Linked DNA regions of Rhinolophus ferrumequinum. The protein of the gene in region 1 purifies or fractionates together with the protein of each later gene. This does not show direct contact. Links are inferred from orthologs where the notes say so. Each region holds a gene or a part of one and is shown on either strand. Other genes may lie near its edges. The genes, in order: POP7 and RPP40.

The links.
Region 2: the proteins of POP7 (region 1) and RPP40 purify together in Homo sapiens (co-immunoprecipitation; 4 studies listed by BioGRID and IntAct, with this or other methods). This does not show direct contact. The link is inferred for Rhinolophus ferrumequinum from reciprocal best matches to the Homo sapiens genes POP7 and RPP40.

Annotation. Positions count from the first base shown.
Region 1 is NC_046290.1:90,967,987-90,979,421, forward strand, and holds the start of POP7 (ribonuclease P protein subunit p20), read left to right. Parts: upstream 1-6,590; 5' UTR 6,591-6,855; intron 6,856-11,435. Other genes in the region: GIGYF1 (GRB10-interacting GYF protein 1), read right to left, coding at 59-170, 328-423, 533-662, 757-791. UniProt on the Homo sapiens protein: Component of ribonuclease P, a ribonucleoprotein complex that generates mature tRNA molecules by cleaving their 5'-ends. Also a component of the MRP ribonuclease complex, which cleaves pre-rRNA sequences.
Region 2 is NC_046292.1:88,845,638-88,856,883, forward strand, and holds the start of RPP40 (ribonuclease P protein subunit p40), read left to right. Parts: upstream 1-6,876; 5' UTR 6,877-6,919; coding exon 6,920-7,042; intron 7,043-7,095; exon of another isoform or gene 7,096-7,773; intron 7,774-8,658; coding exon 8,659-8,803; intron 8,804-10,247; coding exon 10,248-10,316; intron 10,317-11,246. UniProt on the Homo sapiens protein: Component of ribonuclease P, a ribonucleoprotein complex that generates mature tRNA molecules by cleaving their 5'-ends. Also a component of the MRP ribonuclease complex, which cleaves pre-rRNA sequences.

The DNA.
Region 1 (11,435 bases):
ATCCTCAAGACCACAGGCCCCGCCTCTGCTGTCCCCACAACACATCATCACCCCCTACCTCGGCTCCGCGTGCTGCCCCTGCCACGGGAGGCGCCGCCTGGGGGGGGGCCAGCCCCTTTCCCCATCAGCCTCAGCACAGCCACACTGTTCACTGACAGGGAGAAGTTTCTCTGAGGAGGGAGCCAGGGGTGGGAGTGAGGACCCAGGCACCTGACCACCCCCACCCTGTCCAGAACTGCACCCTCCACCACCTGTCTTCCCAACTCCAGCCCCCTATAAAGGTGGAGCCTCAGCACGCCAGCCTGCAGTTGCCCAGCCCGGCCCCACCTGCTCCTCCTCGGTCAGAGGCTCCAGTGCCAGGGGCTGCAGCGGCTCTTCCTGGAGCACCGCAGCAAATTCCTTGTCCTGCAGCTCATCAGGCACCTGGCAATGGGGCAGGCGGGCCAAGACACCACATGCTTCTGGGCCCTGTCCACTGGCGGAGGCCACACGGGCAACTGGGCCACACACCCCACCCTGCGCCACCCCCTACCTTGTTCTCCTTGACGTAGAGGGCCAGCATCTCCTCTCGCCCATAGCGATAGTCAGCCAGCTTGTATTTGGGCATGGCGGGGGATGGGGGTGGGGAGGCTACGCTGCCACCACTTGAAAGTGCCCTCAGCCTACAGAAGGGACACAGGGAAGGAGAAAGACAGGTGTCTGAGCAACCCTCTTCTTCCCAGCTTCCCCATGCCACCCACAGCACATCTGACTCACCACTCAGGCCCAAAGTTGAGGGTCTCTGCTGCCATTGTGAAGCTGAGCGTGTCCTAACGGTCGGAGGAGATGCACAGGGACGAGGGGACCTGGCGTTCACTCTCCAAACACCTGTGGAGACATGGGGGACACTGGGCTTAGAAGCAATACACCCAAACAACCCTGAGAGGACGAGGAGTATGTCCTCACCTTGGTGGGCACAGTAATGGGTCTCAAAGGACTCACCTAAACCACCCACATGCCACTCACACCATGAGTTAATAACCAAAGAGCTAACCAAAGGGAGAAGACCTGAGGGAGGACGGAAACAGGGCAGCCAGATCCCCTTTTAGCTTCTGTAGGAGTCCCTCCCTCACCCCCGACTCACCTGGCAGCCTTACCCCAGGAAGCAGTTAGAGTGGGGGCCTGACTCTCTTCAGGCAGGAGCCTATGCTGGAATGAACCAGGGTCTCCAAGCAACTGGACGTTGGTGTGACCGCAGTGGTACCTGGGGAAGGACCTTCACATTTGGGCAAGACCCTTAACGAGAGGTGAGGGGAAGAAGGCGGGTTAAATGAATTGGGTCAGACAGCCCTCCCTGCTTCTAGCCCTCCTCTGTCCTGTATAATAGGGACCACAGCCCCTGCTCCTGCTCATCTCTGTCCCCCACATTTGGCCTCACGAGCAGTTAATTCACTTAGCAAAGCATGTCTGAGGTGCTGGAGGTGTGGCAGAGAACACACGCGGCACCTCTCTGGGGCTCAGCACTCTTTCCTGCATGGCGGTATTCAGTAAGGGGGTGTTTAAGGTTTGCACGGACGTTCAGGACAAAGATAAAACAAAAACAACCAAACAAACCAACCAACCACTGGAACCACAAATATTTTAAAGAGGAAAGGTTATGGAGAGAAGGATTAGAAATTAATCTGGGCAGAAAATTACTTCCCTCCTGAAAAATCTCAGAGCTGGCTATTGGTGGCTAGAATCCAGAGACTCAGTTTTGAGAGAAACCCAGTTCAGGGGAACTGGGGTGGGGATGCTATTCCAGAGCCAAAGGTGGGGCAGAAACACTGAAGGCTGCAGGCAGGCGAGTCCAGCCAGCACACCCATGGACTGGTTTACCAAACAGGAACCAACACCCAGGCCCCTTCCCTGGACCTGGAAGAGCCCAAGCACAAGTACAAAGTGCCAAGAAGGGAACAACGTTATTAAGATACAAGCTAGGAAGAAGGCCCCTTACCATAAAGTAGAAATACGGTCAGTTACTGAGACTGACAGAAGTGGCAGTGGTGGCAGTGACCTGTCCCTCTAAGGATCAGCAGAGGAGATTCTCAGGAGGCAGCTCATCCCTGGCGGTTCCGAGCAGAGGACGAGCAGACAGGGTCTCAGGGGGCTGCGCAAGGGTTCCCTCAGTGGCTGGGGGGGAGGTTGGACCGGAGCGCCTCCACGATGCCCATCAACTCTAAAACTCCACAACTCTGGGACGGAAGGAAGAAGCGTTTCTACCGGAGGGAACAAGAAGAAAAGTCTGTTGAAAGCTCTTCCTTTCACGGAATTCAAGTAGGACTCACAGGACAGTAGAGTAAGGTTAATTCTTTCTACACTACAATCCTTATGTAATTTGGCCAATGGATGAAACTTGAAGACATTATGCTAAGTGAAACGAGCCAGTCACAATAGAACAGACATTGTATGATTCCTCTCATGAGGTTACTAGAGGAGTCAAATTCAAAGAGACAAGAAAGTAGTATGGTGGGTGCCAGGGCTACGGGGCAAGGGGAGCGGGGAGTTGTTGTTTAATGGGTACAGAGTTTCAGCTGAAATGGGGCAAACGAAACAGTTCTGGACAGGATGGTGGTGATGGTCGAACAATGTGAACATCTTTAATGTTGCAAAACTGTAAACTTAAAAATGGTTAAAATGGTGTATGTTAGGGGTGGCCGGATGGCTCAGCTGGTTAGAGCAAGAGTTCTCAACAGCAAGATTGCAGGTTCAGGATGGTGGGCTGCGCCCCCTGCAACTAAGATTGAAAACAGCAACTGGACTTGGAGCTGAGCTGCACCCTCCACAACTAGATTGAAGGACAACAACTTGGCGCTCATGGGCCCTGGAAAAGCACACTGTTCCCCAATTTAAAAAAAAAAAATTTTAAAAAGAGGTATATGTTATACTTTACCACCATTTAAAAAAGGTTTAGGAAAAAAAGGCATTTGGGAATAGCCATTACATACCTAAGCCTTCCCAATTCCAAAACAACACCTCATATTCTTCAAACAAATCTCAGGAGAGGCTATTCTGAGCCTCCTCCGGTTCACTCCAGAAGAGCCTGTCTTCTAGAGGAACAGGAGTCCTGTGACATGGAAGGCTACTGTGGGGAGGGGGGAACAGAAGAGGGACAACTCACCCTCCCACCCTGCCAAGGAGTGGCAAAGGTGGCTCTCCTTGGTACTTTCCACGTCTGGCCTTCACCTTTCTGTCCTGGTTTTAAGGAGCAAAGTGAGGAAAGCGGCTTCCAGTGTGAAAAGCAAGAAAACTGCAGAGGCAAAGGGAGAGGCAGTCAGGGGGGAAGAGGAAGCACAGGAGCAGCTGGAGAAAAAGGCCAAGTCTCCTGGCGGGCCCAGCCAGGAGAGGATTGGTCCCAGTGCTGGTGGCTGACTGGCCCTTCCTTGACAAGCAGCAAGCATTAACTCCCATGGTTTGCACCCCTCCAAGCAGATATGTGCGTCTTTTCCACATGCTTCCTCGAAGCCAGCAGTTCTCAACTGGGGGGAGGGGGCGGTGACTCTGCTCCCCAGGGGACATTTGGCAAAATCTGGAGACATTTTTGGTTGACATGACTGGGAATTACTACTGGCATCTAATGCGTAGAGGCCAGGGATGCTGCTAAAATCCTACAATACACAGGTCGGCCCCCACAACAGAGAATTATCTGTCTCAAAATGTCACTAGTGCCACGGTTAAGAAACCCTCCTCTATGCCATGAGCACAGGTAATCAATCCTATTCTGTTTATGGGGAAGAATGGAAGACGACAGAAACCAAATTTACTGCAGTTCATTCTCCCACTGAAGAGCAAGGAAATCATTCCCTAATTATACTGTCCCATGAGAGAAATATGAAATTCTGCCAAGAGGGAAATCCTTGGGAAAACACTAGGTTGAAAGAAACTGTCCCAAATTTCTCTATCACAAACTCTCAAAGGCAAGCGTTTGGATCCCTTTCCAGTGAAGGAAAGAGTGAGAAAGGCAGCAGAGGACTCGGGACACGGCCTTTCCTGGCTACTTGATCTAAGGGTCTCCTCACAGGCTCATTCCAGCTTAGCCCCACCGCTTGCCCTGCCCTGAGGCCGCCTGCCTCATCTGTACTGGCTCTTCGTTCTCAGGCCTCAGCATACCCTCACTCTCCTGGCATCTGAATTATTGCTATTAAAAGGCTGCCCCCTGCCGGAATCAAGGGGAAAGGACACACACTGGTCCTGGGTGCTCACAACAGGCTTCAGGGAATAAGAGGGGAGCCTGTTCTCTGGGGTTCAGAATTCACAAAAGGCAAAGATTCAGAGACTAGGCGGTCCCAGTACACACTAAGTTAAGAACATTATTTCCTCATTCCATCACCCCTAAAATTAGCCCCAATCCAGAGCAATGTGCCTTGGCACAGAAAGGTACCACTATTAACAGAAGTAGAATCCCAAATTCCCCAACATTTGAGCAATCGCCCAGCTCCAAGCCTGTTGGAGGTGACTCCGCCCTTTCGCAAGATGGAAAGATTCTCCCAGCATGGTAGGATGAAAACTTAAGAGGCTTAAAAAGGGGGTGCAAGCCCACATTCCTCTCGGATGGTCAGCTATCCCAGCTCTCTACTCTCTGAACAATCCTGACAAATTCTGCCCCTCGGCATGTCTATTAGTTAACAGTTTGCAAAGCAATTCCACACTTTACCTCATTTGATCCCTTTTGCCCACTTGCCCAGTCTTGGGTTCCAGCCAGGGAAAACAAGGGAGGCTGCAGCTGCAACGGCAGGGGACCCGGACGTCCCTAGACACCATGCAACTGAAGGGGCACGTAAGCAGCAAGAACCATCCCAAACTCTCAAACATACTTTGTGAGTTTCAAGTCATTTTAAATTTCTCATTAGAGAAATTTTAAAATCCTTCACGTAGCTGCCTCTTTTCACCCTCTCAGCTCTATTCCAAATCCCAAATACAGAAATAAAAGCGAGGACGAACGGGTCTTTTAATCCATCAAATCACACACAATACTAATACGTCCATTGGCTGAAAATGCCAGGCCGGGGGTCTAAGCACACAACTCACTTGACTGTAATTAACACATGGGACATTTGAGGCCCCTGCCCCCAGCGATGGCAACATACAGTACACATCTGCCCCAACCTTTCCCAATGACATGCTACACCTACAATGTAGGAAACAAAACGAGCTGGAGTGAGGGTTGGAGACCTGGGACTGCACAGGGGACGGTACAGATGAAGGAACCAGAGAGCAAACTCCCAAAGTGCGAGCCGCAGAGGGGACGCATGGTGTTTGAGCTGCAGAGGCAAACGAGGGGGCTCTTGGTGGGAGGCTAAGTTGTAACTGGCATGTCATCTCCAAGGGGCGTTGGAGAGGTAGTGTAAAGGGTGATGATTGTTGGGAACGCAGCACTGAACAGCAAGAGGGGAGTAAGACTGGGGTGCCTGGAGGAAAGAATAGGCCAAGAAGTATTGATTTAGCATCTCCCAGGGACTGGCGCTATGATGGACCAGGGCTGGAAGCTTACTAGAATTCTAGTAACGACTGGGTGAGGTGCGAGATGAGGGTCTCCTTAAAGTTAACTCAAAAAAGGGGAAAGTGTAAGGGGGCCGTGGCCAGGGAGCTGCTGCATCAGGGGGATTGGGCTGGGAAGGGCCAAGCCTGGCGACAAAAAAAGACTAACGTGTTTAACATGGCTGGGCAACCGGGAGGAAGGAGACCCCAATGACCAAGCACTAATGTTGCTGACTGAAAGGAAATTCAGGTGAAGACCCAGCAGAGGTACTCTGCTTAAGGGGAGAAGGCTTCCACATTAGCCAGTCGTGCAACGCGTGGACTTGAAACCCGCAGGGCCCAGCTAATTTTGACAAGAACCCCGAGACACGTTAAGGAATCTCTGGGGAGCGCCCGGCATTCGGGTCGGGGGCCTCCGCGCGGGCCCGGCGGAGGATGCGGCGCGGGGGAGGCCGGGGGCCCTGGACCGAGCTTCCGAGGGGCAGGAGACGACCGTTAGGAACGCGGGGGTGGGAAGGAGGCAAACTGGCCGGGAGGACGGCGTGCCCTTCAGGGAGGGGCGCCAGGTGCGCGGGGCGTGGGTGAGGGCGGCCACCCCCCGGGAGGGACGGCCGCGTAGGGGGCCGTCGCGCCGGGGGGAGGGCCGGGGGGCGGACGCACCCGGCGGCAGCGGCCACGGGAGGAGCTGGGGGAGGTCCGTGCCGGCGGCCCGCGCTCTGGCTCCGGCTCTCGCAGGCTCGACGCGGTCGCCTCGGCGTCGGGGGCGGGCCTGCCCCGGGCCCGACTGCGGGCCAGGGGCTGCGGGACCGCCGAGCGCTTACCGCGGCGGGCGGGCGGGCGGCGCGAGGCTCCGGTCGCGGGGCGTGGGCGGCGGGCGGGCGGCGCGCGGCGGGCCGGGGGCGGCGGCGGGGGAGGGGGCGCTGGCGCTCCCGCGGCGGCCGCTCCTCTCTGTTTGTGTTTGTAGCAAGATGGCTGCCCGCCTCGTACCACGTGACGCGGACGCGGGGCCGCGGGGCCGCCCCCTCCGCCGCCGCCGCCTCCTCCCTCCGCGGCTCCCGCCCGCTCGGACCCGCACGGCCTCGCGCGCTCCCCGCGTGCCCCGCCGGCGCGGCCCGGACGCCCGCCGCCTCCGACCCCCCCCGGCACGTGACCCGGGAGCCCGGCTCGTCACGTGACGCGGGGGCTGCTGCGGGCAGATGGGTGGGAGGTGTCCCCGTTGTACTCCGCGGCTATCCACCGGCACGTGACGCGCGACCATCGCGACGGGGCCGCAGCTAGTGGCATCACCGGCCTTTCCCGGTCGGACGGCTTCCTCCAGGAAGCCCGCCTGCATTGAAAGAGACTACAAACGATCTCGAGGTGTGTTTATCAGACGTCCTGGGATATATACAATAACTGAGGAACCTAATGATTTAGAAACAGTCCCAGGCAGCGCTGACTGGTGAGACCTGGAGTTTTACCTGGCTCCGCTACCGAGGAAGAGTTGAAGCTTTCTCGTATAGTAAGCAGTTAATGCTGTCCTCTGCCCCGTACCTGGCTGGCCCCCACTCCACGCCCTTCCTGGAACGCTGAAAGCAGTAAAATGGGTGAATGTGAAAGACTTTGAAAAGCGATTAACTACTATGCAAATGTAAGACTTAGATTGACAACTCCTTTGTTTAAAACATAGGTTTTCAGGAATTACTTTTCTGAATCCCTGAACCTTTTCGAATGAAAAAGTTTTGTGTGTGTTTCCACCATTTTCCTTGGAGGTCATTCCAGAATGTGTGCTCTGCTACCCAGCATCCTAAAAGAACTGTTACCAAATACAAAATAATCCTCAAGACAGGGAAAGTTAAGTTTAGACTTGGAACTTGAATCCCCTGTGTTGTGCCATAACAGAGTGCGGACCTTAGGAGCTACTACAAGCAAAGCCCTTTGTTCCCGCACGGAGTATCCCCCAGGCTTCTAAGTACTTGTAGTTTTAGTGTCGTTTTTTTTCAGTTCTGCTGACTTTCTTGCGGTCTTGATTCCTGCCTCAGTGTTGTCAGTCAAGCTGCTTGCTCACAAGCTGGAAAATGCAATTGTTTAAAGCAACGGCTTCTGTGCTTCTTTCCATTACCAACAGTGGCCTTGGGCAAGTTCATTAATCGCTCTCCTCTGTGGATTGTATGGTAAAACACTTAACACAGTGCTTGGCACAGGACAAGCACTCCATAAATGTTAGCTAATAGGGGCTTGTGGTTCCACAGGGTCCACAATATTCAGATTGTTAACAGTGTATAAAAATGTATCAACAGAATTTAATCTTGGGTCAGAATTCTCCTAGAATAAAGCTCATAAGCTTATGACAGCTGTTTTTTCTTACTCAAAAACTTTTCTTGTTTTTGTTTTTCTTAACTTCGCTAGATTGTATTCTGGGTAGTTGAAATTACCAGTAGTCTAACTTCTGAATGAGTGCGGTCTTAGCATGTTTTATTGATTAATTGGCGAAAGTGAGATTGTAAGTTATGGTGGAGAAATGGTGCAGGGACAATGGGGGAGGGGACATCTGTGGATTGGAAAATGTTGGGGACGGTGGTTTGTGCTGAACTGGAAGGAAGGGCAGGATTTGGATAGATTTAGGAAAAGTGGGCATTCCTTTGAGAATAGTAAGGATGATGGAAGACCAGGCTGATGGAAGACGATCTGGATTGCTAGTTGGATGAGAAGTGAAGTGAAACTCAGTTGAGGGCCTAGGATGCTACCATGAAAATGCTTTTGTTCTGAAAGTAGCACCCACTAGATGCACTGAATCAAGGAGAGGGTAGAAAATTAAGAGTGATAACCCATGGTTCCATGTGTCCAGCTTGTGACCCTGGGCAAGTAATGTCCCCCAACTGTAAAGTGGGTACCCTGCTGCTGCTGACACTGGAAATGAACCGCATAAGTGCCCTCTGTGAGAAAAGAAACTATGATATCAGACTGAATCTCTCATACAGGATTAAAGAAAAAAAATTAGAAATCACTTGGACCTAAAATATTTTTGTTTATTCAGGTGCTATGCTGTAAAATGTCTTGGTCTGTGTTGTTTTAAATGTAGAAGCTTTGGAACTAAAAGAAATTTGGTTAGATGATAAATCTAGATGAGAGGGAGGTCTCAAGACTAAACAGCCAAGCTTTGCCTTTTTTCTTAATGGCAGATTCCTCTGCCGGTGTTTGCCTTCAGTAAAATGCGAAAAGATAAGGACCATCTTTAGTGTCACATCAGTTTGTGACAGAGCTTGGTTCACCCACCTAAATTGTGAACCTTTACATTTATCTGGATGACAAAGTATAGAAAACATTTTAGACATCATGAAAAGACACACAACCTGAGTAATGGAATGGTAGTTCATAAACTGTGCTTATTGTTAAATATGAGACAAAATGGACCTTAAAACTAATGTATTTCATTCAGAATGAGTTTCTGCCATGTGCCAAGTTCTATGGTGGTCGACCAAATGTAACTGCTTGTCAGGTCACCAATGACCGACACATGGCTAAAGCCACCGGCCCATTATCGTGTGTGGCCTCTGAGCAGCATGACACCACTCCCTCCTCCAGGAACTGCTTTCTTCACCTGGCTTCCATCCTGGGTTTCCTCCTACCTCACAAGCTGTTCCTCCTCTTCTCCCCTATGTCCCAGGGCATAGTCCTTCTAAGCCTCTCCATTGTAGCAGGAGGGACTACACAGGATATGAACCCCACTGCTACGCATTCCTGTCTCAGCTTAGCCATTGCTTCCTTTAGAAAACCTTGGATCCCCCAAGGTCATATTGGCTGTTCTTCCTTGGGGGTCCACCAAATCCTGTACATTCCCTCCACTGGTCACACTGTCTTGCTCATGTTGTTTGCCTTCCACACGAAACTGAGCTGCTTAGCACAGTATTCTATGATATCACCAGTATTCCATCTAACAGGACTCCTTGATCCCACCTTTATTGCTGAATAGTATTCCATGGTGTGGATGTATCACAGTTTGTTTAACCATTCACCTGCTGAAAGACACCTGGGGGTTTCCAGTTTAGGCTATTATAATGATAAAAGTGAACTGGTATTGGGTAAGCATTTTAAGATACCAGTTCACTTTTATCAATAAATAAAACTGCTATGGACATGTGTGTACAGGTTTTAAATGCCTAGGAGTGTTCTTGCTGGGTCATATGGTGAGTATATTTTTAGTGTTAGAAGAAACTGCCCAACTTTTCCAGAGTGGCTGTACCATTTAACAGTTCTACAGCAGTGTATGAGACATGCAGTTTCTCTGCATTCTTGTCAGCACGTGTTATTGTCAAGATTTTTTATTTTGGATATTCTAATAGGTGTGTAGTGGTTGTCATGGTTTTAATTTGCATTTCTAATGGCTAAGAATACTGAGCATCTTATGTGCTTATTTGCCATACTTATATCCCCGTTGCTAAAGTGTCTGTTCAAGACTTTTTCCCACTTTCTAACTGGGTTTGTTTTCTAACTCTTGAGTTTAGAGAGTTTTTTATATATTCTGGATACAAGCTCTTTGTCAGATACATGATTTGCAAACGTATTCTCCTAGTTTGTGGCTTTTTTTTCATCCTATTACTGTGGTTTTTCACAGAGTAAAGGTTTTTAATTTTGATGAAGTACAATTTATCAATTTTTTTCTCTAATGGATTGTGCATTTGAGGTTGTATCTAAGAACACTTCACCTGACCCTATGTCGTAAAGATGTTTTCCTCTAAAAGTTTTATAGTTTTACATTTTATATTTAGATTTGCCATCCATTTTGTGTTGATTTTTTTGCATAGGGTTGAAGTTTAGTTCTTTGCCTATTTGTCCACTTGCTTTAGCACCACTTGCTGAAAAGACTTGTTCTTTCCCCGTTCAACTGCTTTTGCATCATTGTCAAAAATCAGCTGGCTGTACTTGTGTGAATGTATTTCTGGGTCCTCCTTTCCATTTTACTTATTTTTGTGTCTATTCCTTGGCAGTTACCACACTGTCTTGATATTGTGTTTATACAGTAAGTTAAAATCAGGTGATATATTTTTTTTTTCGAAATTGCTTTAACTTTTCTTGCCTTTCCATATAAATTTTACAATAAACTTGTTTGTATTTGAAAAAATTCTTGCTGGGCTTTTCAGCATAGGAATTGCATTAAAGCTAGAGATTAGGAGAGAATTGGTATCTTTACTATGTTGAATCTTCTAATACATGGACATTGTGTATCTTTGTATTTACTTAGATCTTCTTTGATATCTTTCATCAGTATTTTGTAGTTTTCAGCATGTAGATTTTGTACATGTTTTATTAGACTTACACGTAAGTATTTCTCCCACCTCCCCCCATCTCTGGGGTGATTATAAATGGTATTGTATTTTAAATTCGTATCCAATTGTTTATTGCCAGTATATAGAAATACAATCTGTATCTTTTTCTTGCCTTATTGCTCTGTCTGGGAATTCCAACAATAAGAGTGGTTGGTGAGAGAAGACATTCTTGCCTTATTCCTGATTTTAAAAGCAAGGTGGCCAGTCTTTTATCATTAAGTATAATGGTAGCTGCAGGTTTTTTGTAGGTGCTCGTTATCAGGTTGATGATGTTCCTTCTATTCTTTTTTTTGCTTAGAGTTTTTATCGTAAAAGGGTGCTAAATTATGTTAGTTTTTCTGCATCAGTTTGATATGATCATGTGAATTTTCTTTAGGCTGTTAATATGGTAGATAATACTGATTGGCTTTCTTATATTGAACAATCTTTGAAATCAGTTCTATTTAGTCATGGTGTATAATTCTTTTATATATAGTATTCCCCGCTTATCTGCGGGGATACATTCCAACACGCCCCGTGATACCTGAAACTACGGATATTATTGAACCCTGTATATACTATGGTTTTCCTATACATACATACTTTTTCACTTAAAGGAAACACTTTACAGCTTCTCTTTGGCATATCTGAATT
Region 2 (11,246 bases), on another chromosome or scaffold:
AATCTGTCCCTCCACACTTTGCATCAGGGCTGCCCTTATCAGCTCTTGCCAGTAGGATGCAGAGGCTATGACAGCGTGCCAGCATTGGATTAACTAGACTGAAAAGGTCTTAGATGCTTCTGCTTTCTCTTTCAGAACACAGCCATCTCCATGAGAACAAGCCCATGTTAGCCTCCTGGAGGATGAGCCACCACTGGGAATAGAACCATGGTGCCTGGTCGACAGCCAGCTCACCCCCAGAAGCAGAGCCCCCCAGTATACCAGCAGCTGCCACACACACATGAAGTAGCTCAGCTGGGAGCAGAAAAATGGTCCAGCTGAACCCAGCCTGACTGCTGACCCGCTCAGTCATGAACTAGCTAAGCACTGGGTGGTTTGTGATGCAGCAATAGCTAATACATACACCCACTGCAGACAGGATGCCAGGATTCAACGATGTGTTAATTACAAGTTACTTGGCTAACAGTAGGCACCCATTGATGCTGATTTCCTTTTCCCCTTATTTAAAGTTGGATCTCTTGAGTTATACATAAATACATGTAAACATGTGTGCATGTAATTAAATTCACACCTCATGCCACAGGAGGAAATAGACAAGAGTCTGATCTCTAGAGCCCAAGGTCAGATTGCAAAATAAGAAATTTGCCTTTAATTATTCCCTCCAAATCTGAACAGGGGATGTCAAGGCCACGGACAGATCTGACTACATGGGGTTCCCTTCTCTTGGGGCCTCATCTTCCTTTCACTGCTGTCTGATCTCAGAAAGGGGCAATGGAACCACGCCAAGAAGCAGTGGTCACCCGTTGGAAACTTCCTGCTTGCACCCCTCTGCTCCCTCTCAGGACACGATCTGTCTCCATGTTGGGTCTGAGGAATAGTTCCCTCACGTCTGGCTGAGATGGGGGTTCAGGAATTCTACCTCTCTGAAGTCAGGGGGAATGACAGCCCTTAGACCTGCACTTCCAATGTGGCAGCCACTCACCACATGTACTGAGCACTTGAAATGTGGCTGGTCTGAATTATTATGTACTAGATGTATAAAATAGAGTGAATTTCAAGATATTTTACACACAAAAAATGTAAACTATTTCGTTAATAATTTTATATTGATTTCACATTAAAATAATATTTGGGATATATTGGGTTAAATTATATTATTACAATCAATTTCACTTGTTTCTTTTTATTTTCTTTAATGTGATTACTAGACCTTTTCAAATCTCAGGCTGCCTCCTCAGAAGACCAGAGGGCAAGAAGATGATGAAATCTGAAATTTTTGAATCATTTGTCGTTTTATCGTTTCCATTTGTGAATAAAAGATTTAATAAAGCTTTTTACCCTCATATAACCTTAAGTTGAAGGTTTAATATTAAAATACCTATCCTACATGCGTTTCAACATCGTGCTAGGACCCGCCATTGTTTCGCAGGGCGCTGCAGCCATGTGGAGACACTGTCCTCATCCTTAAGCCTTTACTATTTGGAGAGCTCAAGGATTGGCTGCAGGACCCTGTTTTCAGGTTTCTTAGACTTTCTTCCTCCAGTGTGATTAAAGAACAAGGCCAAAATTAAGTTTGAAGCTCTCAGAAACCAAAGGATTTGTCTTTCTGTGCTGTGGCTTACCAGCATTTTTAGTTTCTATTATCAGAAATACCAATTGCAGGTCGCAGCCGGGAAAAAGACCATGAGGAATTGAGAGGCACATTGCACCTAATCTGCACAGGCACGTGCACTGCTAAAAAGGGCCATAACTTCCAAAAATCTCTTAAGTTTTCAAGACTTAGTCCACACCAAGCATTAGACTGACAGCGCCCTGTGCCGCCAATGGTGTTGAAAGGTGACTACAGATGCTGAATCCAGGGCAGACAGGACTGTGTGCTGTAAAGGGAGCCACACATCACAGAAACACGAAGTCACACTTCAGGTAAAGCAAGCACTTTGACCAAGATTAGTTGACTCAAGGCAACTTCATTCTTTTTCTTTCCCAATAAACATTTTCAGGGTCAGAAGCCCAGACTCCACGTAGCAATGTTTTGATGACTGCTCAGCACTGAATACAAGAGGAATAAAGGAGATGAAACCCACACTTTAATTGTAAACAAATGTTGTCAGTGAAAACATTTCAGATCCGTAAGTCCATGTATCTATTAATCATCACAGTAATCTGAAATGCAAGGAAATGATACAGCATGTGTCACTTATAGGTTTCTTTTTCTCTTGTCCCCTCTTCATTTAAACATCTAAAGTTCCTAAGTACATAGATACTCTTTATGAGAAAAAAAAAGAAGAAACTCCCATTGATATCAATGTAAACATTTAATATTGGACAATCAGTTTTTTCATTTTCTATTTTGTCTGTATTGCTAAAGAGGCAAAGATATACAATTCTATATCTTAGATATTGCATTTTTGTAAAGACTGAATGTAATAAGCTTCATTCCTTCAATTATTAACAATAATTACAATTTGCCCGTTCTCTGCAGAATACACTTCCAGGAACTGTGGGGATGTGGAAAAGAAATAAATATTGTTTCTATGAGATGGTAAGTCCCTTGAAGGCAAGGACAGGAGATGGTCTCTCTGGTCCTTAGCAGTGTCTGGCACACCGCAGGCACTGCAGAGGTTGATGACTGCCTGAATGAATGAATACGGTACTTCCAATGGGCAGGAAGTCCCGCCCACACCTGGCACTGCGGTTGGCCATGTACACACGGACACTGCCTGGACCCCCACTCCGAGAATTACACTTGCAGCACACCACTTCCTCCCTGCAGCCCAGGGCAATGACTCCAGCTGTTGGAGAATTGGGGGACTTATCTCACCCCATGCTCTTATCTCACCTTCTTTCTTCCCCTCAAGTCTGTATCCAAGCTACCCTTCCACTTGAGTCGTTCCACTGCTCAAAGCTCCAGTCATTCTACCTGAAGCAGCTCTCCTCTTGCCTTTCTTCCCTCCCCCATCCCTGCTGCTGTATTGCTTTCTTTCATCAGTTTTTGTCTCCTTTCCTTGTAAAATAACTCTTCTACCACTTTCTACCTCATTGGCATTTATTTGGGAATCAGAAATTCACCCCACAGCTTAATATTCCATTTTTGGAATAAGTCAGTCACACTCTGGAACAAGCACCAGTGCCATCCACCTCCAGAGATCTTGAAAGTAGTTTAAGATCTTTTAGAACCTCCAGAGAAATCTTAATCTTTCCCATTTCCTTCTAGTCAAGCTTTTTTTTCCTCAAGTACCAGCATTGAAAATAAAGTTTTAAAAATTATTGTGCCAGCAAGAAAAGGAATGAAGTACTGATTATGTTGTCATATAAATGAACCTTGAAAACATTGTGCTAAGTGAAGGGAATCAGTCACAAATGTCTATTTATTATGATTCCATTTATATGAACTGTCCAGCAAAGACAAATCTACAGAGACAGAAAGCAGATTAGTGGTAGCTTAGGGCCTGGAGAGGACAGTGGGGAGGGTAGGAGGGTGATAGCTAAGGGTGTTCCTTTTTGAGGTGATGAAAATGTCCTAAAATTGACTGTGGTGTTGGTTGTATATATCTGTGAATATACTAAAAACCGTTAAATTGTACACTATAAATGAGTGAACTGTACAGTATAGAATTGTGTCTCAATAAAGTTGTTTTAAAATTTTAAAAATTATTATGAACTATTTCATACATTCAAAATTATATATATACATACATATATATGTTCATATATCCTGTACCTGTCACCTGCCTCATAAATACAACTTCACTGGTTTTGAAGACACGTGCGTGTCCTTCCCAATACAACCCCTTTGTGTTCTGCTTTTTCTCTATATTGAGATATAGTTGACATATAACATTATTAGTGTTCTGCTTTTAAAATACTCCTTCATTTGTACACTTCCATGTACTGACATAGCCTACATAGTTGTCATTTTTAATGTTTGTGTGCTTCACTGATTTCCAACCAGTCAGAGGGAGGACAGCTGAGGAGAGAGGAAATATCGTCTGACTTTGCACCTTGAGCAGAACTTCTGAGATTCAAGTCCTCTCATGGGGTGGACCATGGAGTATCGTTGGGGGCCATTCGTTTTTTTCCCTTGCAGCTGCTAGATCCAGTTTCCACTCTGTGTGCCATCAGAGGGCGGTTTTGTTTTTGTATACCAATAAGGGTCCATTTGTGGTGGCTGCCTGGAGTCCTGCACTGGAAAGAGCGCTGAGGTCAAGTTCAGGTTCGGCAGGACGGAAGCCTCTGATTTATTACAGGCATCTGCAAGTCAGTTCCCAGCACTGACGTCACTGCTACTCTGACTTGTAAGGAGGCGATGTTAAATGCATCCAGGGCGGTGCTGGGCACCAAAAAACAGGACTTAGTCACTCCAGGAGCTTCTGAGCTGAAGAGCTCTCTCCTTCCACGACTGCATATTGCTAGCTATATTTCCACATATATTTATAGCACTGCAATTGTGTTTTGGATTTGCACCCTGACCCAGGAATTAATTTATTTAAAAGAGTATTTCAACGTTTTCAAGGAGTTGAGCATCTTTAAATTCTGGTTATTTCTAATTTTATTGCACTGTAACCCCAAAATGTGGTATGTAAAATTTTTGCCCTTTTAGATTTACTAAGAATATTTTTATGTTTTTTAAGAATACAAAGGTATTTTTATTTCTTTGCAAGTCTGTTGACTTAGTTTTTAAAAACAAAATCATTTTGTTACTATATAGTGTGTGTATATATTATGGTTTTGTTTCCTGTGCTTTTTTCCCTTTTTTAGCCATTTTTTTTTCTGGCCCTTCATTCTCTCTTAGAGTTTTCTTTCTATGCCCTATGCTCTAGATCTAATACCTGTTTGTCAGTTAAGGTTGCTTTCAGTTCTAGAAACCAGGAAATCTGACACACAATAGTATGAACAAGGCTATGGTAGGAGGCCACAGAGGTGGGCGGGGACCAGGTTATCTAAGCTTTTATGCTACTGCAGTGAGAAGCCAGTAGCAGGTTTAAATGGGGGGTGGAGGGAGGTGGCATATATCATGTTTTTCATGTGTTCAAGAGATCATGCTGGGTGCTGAGTGGAGAGTAGACTGTAGGAGGGCAAGACAGGAAGCAGGGTCAGGAGGATGTGCCTGGCAGCAGACCAGAAAAAGAGGAAGGTGGCTGAAACTGGTAGTAGGAATGGAGAGAATGAAAAGAGACTGCAATCAGGATGCATGTTGAGGCAGAGCCAACAGAGGATTGCATATGGGGTGTGAAGGGAAGAAGAGTCAGGCATAACTCCTGAGTGTTCCCCACAGGGAAGAGAATCCAGGCAGTTTTCAGCATATAGATGTATTGAAAGCTGAGACTGCAGGATCATTCTGAATGGTCAGGCAGGGAAGAGAAGGGGGCTGAGAATCACTAGAGATCTTCTGGTGGAGGAGCAGGAGCAGGAAGAGGAGCTGAGTAAGGTGTGGGGGAGATCCAAGAGATGGAGGGGGTGGGTCTCAAAAATCCAGAGGAAAGTGTTTCAAGAAGGAATATTTTGAAATGTACCCAGGGATCATTACAGACACAGAACTCTGGGAAGGCAGGCTGAAAGGACTCCTCAGGCCCAAATTTACTTGAAGCTACAGCTTTAATCTATAAAATAAATGGACTTTTGCCTTCTGTTTCATAATACAGGCACACCCCGCCACAGAACAAATCCTCAAATAATGTATCCCTGGAAAGACACCTCTGTGTTTTGAATACCCAAACTACATAGCAGGTATTTATCGCTCAACACATTTTTCAGCTGTATATATATATATATATATATATATATATATATACAGCTGTATATATTTATATATATATATAAAATTTATATTGAGTCTTCAAAATTTAATAAAACTTAGTTTAGTGGCTTGCTAGAAAAGCTTCATCTTGCTCCCAAATACAGAATCACACTATACTTTGCAAAGCTTTGGAGTATCAACAAGAGATGAATATATCTGACGTGGCTGCTTTTGGAAAGGCCACTGATACTTAATTGTGACCAAGAAGCAATGTTTTAGGCATTTTACATCCAAATATATTTGTAGCTTATGTCTAGGTGCTGTATTGTGATTTAGGAAATTGGTAGATTTTTTCAATTGACTTGCTATTCCTTATAATTTTTTCCATTGAAAATAGGTTTTCCTTATTTTTTCCAGAGACAGCCTGACATTTCAGGCACAGGTTACTCACAACTGGCAAGGGATCTTCTAGCTTTGTCTTAAACTTTTAATACTTACCTTGTAAATTACTTAACTTGGGTTCTTCCAAATTTTATAGTCAAATTAATGCTCCAGAAAGTTGTACCACATATTCTACTGTTTGGTATCCTCTCTGCACAGAATTGGGGCTGTGCATACTTCAGTTTGAGAAGCAACTAGTCAGGTAGTACTTGAAGTTTATCAGAAAAATTAAATGGAAAAATAAATTATTACTGTAACCCCAACAGCAATAAATACTAAGAGGTTCCGGAAGGATAATTAAAAAGGGGTCTTAAAAGTGGTTCCAAAGGCGTCTTAGTGTAGTGCGGAAAACAGAAATTGGGTATTACCTTCCTAAACAAACTTCCTAACAGTTTAGGAAAGAGCAAGGTGGGGGTGGCGCTCATAGGGAGGATTTATGGCGAGACAGAAGTTGGGAGGGATGGAGGGTTTGGAGAGAAAGGTGGCTTTGGAATGACAAGTTCCATGTTCCCAGGTACCAGGTAATTCCATTTGACTCAGCGAACTTACGGTGCCAGGTACCCGTTAGTGAGTTTCTACTTGGATCCCAAAGAAGCCTGGGGCAGCCGGCACCGCCAGCTCCACCCCGACCTGGGGTCGGCCTCAAAGAGCGCCGCCGGGCCGCACTGCGCATGGCTCAGGGGCGGGGCGAAGGGAAGGGGCGGCGCGCCAGGCCCGCGGAGGTTCTGTGGCAGGGAAAGCATGGCCACCCTGCGCGGGCTGAGAGAGGTACCCCGGCACTTGCTGGTCTGCGAGAAATCCAACTTCGGCCACGACAAGTCGCGCCACCGGCATCTTGTGGAGACGCACTACCATAATTATAGGGTGAGTCGGGCCGCCCTCGGCTCGCGAGCTGGAGAGGCTTGAGAGGATCTGTACTCCGCTCTGCGTGGCGGGCCCGCCCTCGGCGCTGGGGGGCGGGGCCCTTCGCCGGGAGTGCTGGGAGCTGTAGTCTCTAAACGGGTCGGAGCTGGTTGCTGGCGGACCAGCCGGATTACAACTCCCAGGATGCGCCGCGAGCGGCGCGGTATCGGCCCTGGGGGAGACCTGGGCGGTGTGCGCCGGTAGCACGTTCCTCCCGTCCCTTCCCCGGCCCATTTGCAGAGCATCCCGGGGAGGGATGTGAGGGGCAGGGCCGCGACTGTTGCGAAGTGCAGCCGCCGGCCGGCCTCGTACAACTCGCTTTTTCCCCACATCGAAACCAGACTCGCCTCTTCCCCACCGCCTAATTCCTTCTCCCACCCGTGTGCCTGTGGATTTTTCAGAGCATCGTGCGGAGTCTACGCCCAGATAACGACTTGCTTTTCTAAACTGCTTATGGAAACTGGATTGATAGCTGAGAAACTTTCCACTTTGCCTGCCTGCTGCCCTATGTGTACTCAAGACACACTGTGCTATTTCGGCAGCTTTGGGGAGAAATTCGCTGTGATGGCCCCGCTAGCGAGCACAACCAAGAGTTTTAACAGGGTGGTAACAATGGCTGTTGTTGCTTCGTGAAAATGTCACCCTCAGGGGTGCCTTTTCCTCAGATGTGAAAGTCGAGGCATCTCAGTGAGGTTAATTATTGGTTTATCCAGGATCTGTTGTGAGTGGAGGAGAACAACCCAGATTCCCAGTCAAGTGTCTATAGGGCTGTTTTCACCAACCCATTTAAGTGGTGAGACCTCCAAAAAAATCAATCTCAAGATGATAATGGTTTAAGCCTTTAGCACGTTAAATTGATCAGCCTGATCAAAACTCAGGCCCGACTGGCCTGTTTCTCAGAGACTCAAGTGCTGACTCTGGCCCTTCCGGGACAGACTGGTGTGTCGGCAGCTTTGGGAGAGTGATTTTCAATGTGTGGAGCCTTGGGCAGCGTGTGAAACCCGTTAGGTTTTAACATCTCCGCTTTGGATGGAAAAACTACTCACAGATAGTAGTCAGGGACGTATGCCTTAACTCGCCAGGTCTGATCTGTAGAATTTTTCTGTCTATAAAATAGAAACATCCAGTAGCACTTCTGCTTCCATGTACCCTACTAATAATTGGTTCTGAAGAGGTAAATTCCTTATGCTCTAAGAGACATTTCCTGTGATTCAAACCCGCGACCAGGATAAACAAATTTAGGGATATTCAATTGTCCTATTTTCCCTAAAAATTAGTAAAAGGAACAGGACATATTTATAATGCTTCTTTGTAAAAAAATAAAATACTAGCACGACATTTCCATTATTTATTTGTTTTTTGGGGGTCATTCTCCTTCCTATACGATATTTGAATACAGAAATGAAAACTTGAATTGTCAGGTGTTTCTTTTCTTGAGATTGGTAAGTTAATTAATGAGAGTTTTGTAGAAATCTCTGGCGGTATAGTTAGCAGCCTTCATGATCTATATCATCGCTAAAATCCTGGGTGTTCAGCTACGTGAAAATAAAACTTGTTTATATTACACATTCCAATAGGTTTCATTTCTGATTCCTGAATGTGGTATACTGTCAAAAGAACTCAAAAACCTGGTCATGGAAACTGGATCCTATTACTTTGTGAAGAATTTACCTGTTCATGAGTTAATTACACAGGAATTCATCAATACCTTTGTAAAGAAAGGTAAGAAAAACCATGCAGTGTCTGTGAACGTGGCAAGATGAGGAAGTATGGTTAGATCACATCACAACACAAGGGTTTTTCTCTTGTGTTAAATCGGGCCTATGGAAATAGTCCGTGTGGTCAAGTGCATGCATTACTCTCCCCATTCCTCAGTATTCTTGCCCTGCTCTTCCACATGCTTTCATTAGGTGGTGGTTTCCGATGACATTTGTCCACAGGTGTTGCTTGGGGTTATTGTAACATGAAGGCATCCCTCATCTTAAAATAAAGATTAGTGAAGAGGAAACCCTTTTGATCTGTGTATTCAAATTCGGTGCTGTTGGGTATGTGCCTCCAAAGAACAGTATGCTCCCAGTACCATGTTTCCCGGAAAATAAGACCGGGTCTTACAGTAATATTTGCTCCAGAAGACGCATTAGGGCTTATGTTCGGGGGAATGTCATCCCAAAAAATCATGCTCGGGCTCATTTTTTGGTTAGGTCTTATTTTCGGGGAAGCACAGTAGTTCCCACAACAGATATCTGAAAGGTTGGTTTCGGATAGCAGCTGTTCACAGTGGTTTGGTGTCTTCTGCTTAGACTTGGTTCTGAAGAGGTAAATTCGCACCCTCCTCTGCTCACCCCATTCCCAGTCGTGTCTGGTGGGTGGATTGGATTATTCCAGTTGTTTCCTAGGAGCCACTTGTTTGAAACTATTTCAGAAAATCTTTCGGGATCGCACCCTCACACCGCACGTTACTGCACTTATAAGTAAGCAAGCCACTTACTTAGCTTGCGGTCAGACCGTGTTTTCCTCTCCAGTGGAGAATCCTAGTTCCTGGTAGCTCCTCTCACTCTGATGTTGCTGGGGCTGCTTATGAAGCTGGGCGTCTTGTCTTTGGTCTCATCGACATTGTTCCTTTCATCTGTTTTGAAGTTTGATGCTACTTTTTTAATATTAATAGTGTGGACACTGGCTATAGTAGGCACTTTTACATATCTTACCCAATTTAAACCCTTGCCACAACTCTATGAAATATGCCTGTGATCCCCATTTTACAGGTGAGGAAATTGAGGCTGGGAGAGATTAAGTAGTTTTCTTAACTTCTCACAAGTTCCTGGCTCATTTTGATTTTTAACCTGGAACTGTGCCTCTCAGGTGTGCACACTTACCTAGTATTCCACTTTGTGCCTTTCTGCCAGCATCCCCAAGGCACACATGCCATCCTGTGTCCATTTCCTGCTTGATAGTAGTCAGCTTATACGAACAGGTCTTGGGCGGGGGTTGAACTAACTGCTTGGCCTTTCGTGTTCTCCAGGTTAGCATTGGCAGGTTTTAGGTTTACTGAGTGAGCTGGAGCAGTGATTTGGATGATTTATTATCACGTAGAAATAATCCACTGACTTTTTGCAGGTCTGTTTTTTTTTTCCTTGCCTTAATTTTTCCTCTGGGCTTTCTCTTACAGGTTCATGCTATGCACTAACATACAATACAAATATTGATGAAGATAATACTGTTGCCCTGCTGCCAAATGGTAACAACACTCAGTTTTTTCTTTTTTGTTTAATTTTAGAAGAAATAGATACTGTAAAAAAAAGAAGGCAAATCATACAGATGTATATAAAGTGAAGGTTCCCCCCTCTCATCCCTATTTCTTCCAAACTCATTCCCTTTCTCAAAAGGAACTGTTGTTAATAGGTAAATGTTCATTTTTATAGACATTGTCTATGAATTTATACATACACATAAAGGTGCCTTTTTTTTTTTAACAAATTACGTCATATTATATTGTTTCTCAATTTGCTTTTTTCCCAAGCTATATATCATAGACATCTTTCCATATCAGTGCATATAGTTCTAATTTACTATTTTTAATGTCTTGAAGGTATCCCAAAGAAGAGGTATACAGTGGCTTATTTATTCCTTCTTCAGTAAAACTTAAATAAATTTCTAGTTTCACTATTGTAAATAATATCTTTGTATGTATAATGTATAAACAATACCCTTCAATTATAAATAAGATGTTTGTGTATATAAGTAATATCCTTATATTATAAATAAGATCTTTGTATGCAATTTATTGCACTGACACCTAACTGCTCAATTTGCCTTTCCTTTTTTTTTTTTTTCTAAAGATTTTTATCGGGGAAGGAGAACAGTGCGTATTTCCAGGACTTTAATGGGGAATAGTGTGTTTTTCCCAGGACGCTCCAAGTCAAGTTGTTATCCTTCAATCTTAGTTGTGGAGGGCGCAGCTCAGCTCCAAGTCCAGTCACTGTTTTTCAGTCTAGTTGCAGGGGCCGCAGCCCACCATCTCATGCGGGAGTCGAGCCGGCAACCTTGTTGTTAAGAGCACGCGCTCTAACCAACTGAGCCATCCGGCTGCCTCTCGGCAGCTCAGCGGCAGCTCAGCTCAACGTGCGGCGTTCAATCTTAGTTGCGGGGGTGCCTTGCTTTCTTTTAG